Xenopus tropicalis: one gene and its partner. The protein of the gene in region 2 purifies or fractionates together with the protein of the main gene of each other region. This does not show direct contact. Links are inferred from orthologs where the notes say so. Each region holds a gene or a part of one and is shown on either strand. Other genes may lie near its edges.

What was found. The genes of interacting proteins can lie anywhere in the genome.
Region 1: the proteins of ptp4a2 (region 2) and cnnm2 purify together in Homo sapiens (affinity purification with mass spectrometry; 4 studies listed by BioGRID and IntAct, counting the BioPlex papers as one, with this or other methods). This does not show direct contact. The link is inferred for Xenopus tropicalis from reciprocal best matches to the Homo sapiens genes PTP4A2 and CNNM2.

Annotation. Positions count from the first base shown.
Region 1 is NC_030683.2:28,751,364-28,754,858, forward strand, and holds the end of cnnm2 (metal transporter CNNM2 precursor), read right to left. Parts: intron 2,310-3,495; coding exon 2,125-2,309; intron 1,085-2,124; coding exon 875-1,084; 3' UTR 616-874; downstream 1-615.
Region 2 is NC_030678.2:86,680,504-86,683,599, forward strand, and holds part of ptp4a2 (protein tyrosine phosphatase type IVA 2), read left to right. Parts: intron 1-2,889; coding exon 2,890-3,020; intron 3,021-3,096.

The DNA of each region.
Region 1 (3,495 bases), on a different chromosome or scaffold from region 2:
TCTGGGGAAAACAGAAAAAAATATGAATTAAAACTGACATATCTTTGGGTTAGTCCACTGTAACGAGCTATAAGATGTATATCTTATGTTTGCTCAGAGTACAGTGATATCAGCTGAATACAATTAGAAGAAAACCTAATGAACTTGGGTAGCCAATGAGGTCTACTTTTAAAGTATAAACCAGAGAAAAAAACATAACATGTAAGACATAACATGTAAGAGCAAAAACAATTTTCTGCTAAAGAAGAATAACAACAACCCGTACTCTTACAGGTTTCCGCTTGTCAATGCAAGAATAAACGACTCCTAGTGAGATGGAAAAAAGGGAAACCATTAACTACCCCATAACATCTGATTTTTAAACACCAAAGTACCTATATCGTCATTTTTTGGCTGAAATTTCCCATGGACAGAAGAATTTCGGATGAATCGAGCCAGTCACTTTGGGGTTTATGAGAACCAGGCTAACATGTATTTAAGGCCTGAGTTTTTGACAACCAACCATAATATTGCAGTAGTGATTTCTGCATTGTGATTGGTCCAATTATGATATCAAACCATGCCACGAGTCAATAAGGGGGGTAAAACAGTATCTTATTTTGTTTGATGATCATCTTTTTTGGTCTCACTCACCAATCCCTAGTTTTATTTATTACTATTTGCTTTATTCCTGATGTCTCTCTCCTGCTCCTGTTTTAAGTACTTCGGTTCCTGCCACCGCTGGGCTCAGAATCTTTGGTCTCAGAATGCTGGGTGGCACTCGGCATGAGCTTGTACTCAAGGTGTTTGCAGTTGCACAGACAGGAATCCGGGAAGGAAGCTTGAGAATGAAGTGAGGACAGTCCTGAATGTCAATGAGCTGGGCTGAACCCCCTCAAATCGGACCTTCATTGTGCATACTGTGGTTGGACTTGTTGTGTGTGACACAGTTCTGTTCGTTTAACAGATTTGCTGTTTCATCTGCTAAGCCGTCGTGTAGCTCGGTAAGAGTCATATCTATTTTAGTGTTCTCACTGTCTGAGGATTGAGGCGTTTTGTCCATGCGTGAAGCCATTAATGCATTTTGGTACTGCTGCCTTGTGATCTAATTTGCAGACAAACAGAAAAGGGTTCCATAACTTAGAGACAGCAACATGAAGATATGTAGACTTACCAAAAATTTCCTCTAATAAAACCTCTTATACTTTTTTATTATCCAAAGTATCAAGTTTCTGGAGTCTGACCTTCGGTTAATATATCTCTGTCTTTCATTGCCCTTAGATGAATGAGAGCAAAAGAGTGGCTGCTATTGGTTACTACTCTGCCCTCGATTTACTAATACAAAATTGGGTTTGGATTCAGTGTTGAGCCAAATTGTTTGTGAAGAGTTGGGGTATCAGGAGCATCCCTAACCCTAAGTGCTTGTTGATTTGCCCTTTTAAAATGACTGACAGGCAAAGTTTTCTTTCCCATTTGCTTTGTGAATTGGCTATGGCAGTGGTACTTTGGCACTAAGAAGCACTTGGCCCTGGGAAATTTAGAAGTATCTTGGATACTGGTTACTTTGTATTTCGGGATATGATTGAAGAAAAAAATACTTTTACAACTTGATGAAATTTATGGCAGATGGTTTTTAACAAACACTGCCATTCTCCGCAGCACATATTTGCTTAGGGTGGTTTCCAGATTCCTGATGACTTATGCTAGGTACTGCAAAATACCTATACTGAGGGCTTTTACCTGTTAAACCCAGAGAATTTCATCTTTAGTCAATTTAGACAGGTATAGTCTGACAACTAGGCCATAATCCCTGCTAGTCTCTTATAAAACCATCATAACACAACTGGAGGGTTATGGTATCTTAAGATGGCCAGGTTGCCACCCTAAAATTGTATGCTGTGTTTGTAATGTCTTCATTGAAGGACTAGGGGAAAGGGGAAATTATCACAATCCCTATAGGAGAAAATAACACAACAGTATGGTGACCCATTAAGCGGACTGTCAGTACTAACTGTATTTGGATTCATTTAAATAACAATAAATAGCCATGCAATTAAACAAAGGTCGGATCTAGCCAAGATTGGTGGTTTTGTTGAACTTTATTAATCTATGAATTTGAAAATGGATAAAAAAAAAGTTGAATACCTTAACAAACTGCATGTCTGTTATGGCTCTTACAGAGTAGTCAGGGATATAGACTTGTAAGAAGGAAGCATTGAGCTGGTTGTTACTATTTCCCAGTGTAGGCGTCACAGCGTCAATTCTATCACTTCTGTTAAGAGAGTCCGAATGGTTCAATCCACATGGACGGGGTGGAGATTTATTCTCTGCTATGACAAAGACAATTAAAAAAATGTAAAATTAACACAAAACAAAAAGGAAACCCTAATAAATTGTAATGGGGTAGGACAGAGCATACAGAAAGAGCCAAGGGGCTGATTTAAGAAAAGCACATCCATATTCACTTTTTTGATTATTTATCAAAATCATCCCTGCTTGGGAATGTAACTATACTGTAACTGGCCCCCAAAGTTTACTTGTTCTATGTTGCATTACATTCAGTTTTATTCGACTGTTAAACGTCAGGACACACTGGGCGAATATACAATTTGTGATGGAATTTATGAAGCTTGAGAACATTGCAGTGTATCTTTGTGGGGGGGGGGGGGGGTCTCTACCCTACCCTGAATTTAAGGGACAGGATTCAGTATTTACCAATTACTGTTACCAACCAAAATACTAAAATATTGGCCCCTCTCTATTTATGCTTTCCTATATATTTGTATAAAAACATAGGATATTGCCTATGGCATGGGGGCAATGTAGCACAGACAGTTATAAGTGAGGAAGAACCACATACAGGCAGGTCAATTGGGTTCTAATAAAACTGAGCTTAGTGTGTGTGAATGTGACAGGGACCTTAGACTGTAAATTTAAAGAAGAAGGAAAGGCAAAGTCACTTGGTGGTACCAAAATGTTAGGCACCCCAAGTGACTTAAATCGCCTACCTTGTACCCCGGGCTGGCGCATGCGCAGTAGAGTGAATAGTGGAACTTTAACAGAGAAGTCGGCTTTTCACTCTACTGCGCATGCGCCGGCCACTGGAATTAGCCGGAAAACGAAGCCAGAAGGAGGAAGCGCTGCAGGTACCCTGGGCTGGTGCTGTTTTCTCCTGACGGGCATCAGCCCGGGGTACAAGGTAAGCGATTAAAGTCACTTGGGGGTGCCTAACATTTTGGCACCCCCAAGTGACTCTGCCTTTCCTTCTCCTTTAACTGGGCAGGGACTCATGTGTAATCTCTGCAGAATATATTGTCAGTGCTATATAAACAAAGGATACTAATAATAATAACACTTTTTATTACCGTGGGGTACAACTGTTTCAAGCCAAGTAAACACTTTACTTTTTACCTGATTTGCTTCTCTGATCATTGCAGTAGCAATCACACACCAGCATCAGCTCAGCACAAGTTTAACATGAGACTAAATACTGACAGATTAGTGCTATGGGAATTT
Region 2 (3,096 bases):
AATATCCCCTTTAACATATTCAGTTCAAGTCTTTTTGCAAGTATCAATTTAAAGGAATTTTATGGCTACTATAACAGCATTGTGAATGTATATATTACACTTGTGTGGATATTTTTGTAGGTTTGTGAAAGCAAGCCTTTAATTAGTGCCTCTTCACCTGCTGTGGACTTAAAATTCATTGCAAGACTCAGTCAAGAGTGAATCGTAAATTGTCAATGTGGCTGCTCTGACAGCATTGGGACAAATAAACTGACCAGTTTGCATGTATTATGCTTCCTGTAGCACACAAAGAGCTGGATGAAGAAAGAGATTTTTAGTGAGCATCTAGAAATCAAAGTGTAGGTCATAACTCAACTAGGATATTTAAATATGCCTTTGCTTAATTCTAGGCTTATAGAATGCATATAATCAAAATAGATATGTTTTGGGCAGTATGGACAGTGAGGGCTTTTTCAAATCTTACTATGGACTGCTGCTATGTGCTAATTTTAATTTTAATCAGACTGCATTGCCCACAGGTCATACTATAAGCCTGTCTGTCTAGTTACTCTATATACAGTGGTGTGAAAAACTATTTCTTATTCTTTTGCATGTTTGTCACACTTAAATGTTTCTGCTCATCAAAAACCGTTAACTATTAGTCAAAGATAACATAATTGAACACAAAATGCAGTTTTTAAATGAAGGTTTACCTTTTTAAGGGAGAAAAAAAACTCTACATGGCCCTGTGTGAAAAAGTGATTGTTAAAAAATAACTTAACTGTGGTTTATCACACCTGAGTTCAATTTCTGTAGTCACCCCCAGGCCTGATTACTGCCACACCTGTTTCAATCAAGAAATCACTTAAATAGGAGCTACCTGACACAGAGAAGTAGACCAAAAGCACCTCAAAAGCTAGACATCATGCCAAGATCCAAAGAAATTGAGGAACAAATGAGAACAAAAGTAATTGAGATCTATCAGTCTGGTAAAGGTTATAAAGCCATTTCTAAAGCTTTGGGACTCCAGCGAACCACAGTGAGAGCCATTATCCACAAATGGCAAAAACATGGAACAGTGGTGAACCTTCCCAGGAGTGGCCGGCCGACCAAAATTACCCCAAGAGCGCAGAGAACTCATCCGAGAGGCCACAAAAGACCCCAGGACAACATCTAAAGAACTGCAGGCCTCACTTGCCTCAATTAAGGTCAGTGTTCACGACTCTACCATAAGAAAGAGACTGGGCAAAAACGGCCTGCATGGCAGATTTCCAAGGCGCAAACCACTTTTAAGCAAAAAGAACATTATGGCTCGTCTCAATTTTGCTAAAAAACATCTCAATGATTGCCAAGACTTTTGGGAAAATACCTTGTGGACCGACGAGACAAAAGTTGAACTTTTTGGAAGGTGCGTGTCCCGTTACATCTGGCGTAAAAGTAACACAGCATTTCAGAAAAAGAACATCATACCAACAGTAAAATATGGTGGTGGTAGTGTGATGGTCTGGGGTGGTTTTGCTGCTTCAGGACCTGGAAGGCTTGCTGTGATAGATGGAACCATGAATTCTACTGTCTACCAAAAAATCCTGAAGGAGAATGTCCGGCCATCTGTTCGTCAACTCAAGCTGAAGCGATCTTGGGTGCTGCAGCAGGACAATGACCCAAAACACACCAGCAAATCCACCTCTGAATGGCTGAAGAAAAACAAAATTAAGACTTTGGAGTGGCCTAGTCAAAGTCCTGACCTGAATCCTATTGAGATGTTGTGGCATGACCTTAAAAAGGCGGTTCATGCTAGAAAACCCTCAAATAAAGCTGAATTACAACAATTATGCAAAGATGAGTGGGCCTAAATTCCTCCAGAGCGCTGTAAAAGACTCGTTGCAAGTTATCACAAACGCTTGATTGCAGTTATTGCTGCTAAGGGTGGCCCAACCAGTTATTAGGTTCAGGGGGCAATTACTTTTTCACACAGGGCCATGTAGGTTTGGATTTTTTTTTCTCCCTAAATAATAAAAACCCTCATTTAAAAACTGCATTTTGTGTTTACTTGTGTTATCTTTGACTAATAGTTAAATGTGTTTGATGATCAGAAACATTTTGTGTGACAAACATGCAAAAGAATAAGAAATCAGGAAGGGGGCAAATAGTTTTTCACACCACTGTATAGGCAAGTTAGAAACCCCTTTTATAGGAGCATACAAAAGTTGCGCAACAAGAATGTCTTTATACTTTAAAAATATCCCCATTTGAACAATAAGAGGGGAGGTAAGGTGTGCACTGTATAGCTGGCCATACATGCACAGATATTATCAATACCTTGTTTTGTACGATATTCGGTGTGTGTATGGTGGGTCGAAGAGGTGACAGATATCACAAAGGCTGCGGATAGCTGTCATCTCGTCGATTGGCCATGTTAAAAGATTTTGATCGGGGCCATTGAAGGCGCCCAAGCAAAATCTACGTTTAGGGCTGAATCAGCAGGTGGAGGTAGAATTTCTATACTTCCATATCTGACGATTCAGCCCTGAACGTCAGTGGAGGGTGGGAACAAGCTAACCATTGGTATAGATTGTTATACTTTGAAATGTAATACTTTGTTGTATTTGGAGATTTGTAAGAAACTAGAAATACCCATGAAAGTATTTCTTCTTTGTTTATGCATCTAGGAAAGACATGTTTGTGCTTTATTGTAATAGAGCTTCACATATTGAGCCAACATGTTAAAACAGTTAGAATGCAGCTGGTTGAAAAAAAATGTAACTATTCAATGAACTGGTTGCTATGGCTATGGATTACTGCCCAGGTGCAAATTTGCCCAGTGTTAGTAAATGAGACAAACTGTTCTTAAACGTTTAAGGAGATTTTTTTTTTCTTTGCTCTTATTTTCTCTCTTCTGGTTTATTTTAGGATTGGCCCTTTGATGATGGAGCCCCACCTCCAACACAGATAGTTGATGATTGGCTAAACCTCTTGAAAACCAAATTCCGTGAGGAGGCTGGATGCTGCATTGCTGTTCACTGTGTGGCTGGACTTGGGAGGTATGTTCTCCAGCCACCCCCACATATTAATTTGGGGCAATCTCTATAACATAGCTTTGAACAGCCATCCACTGGA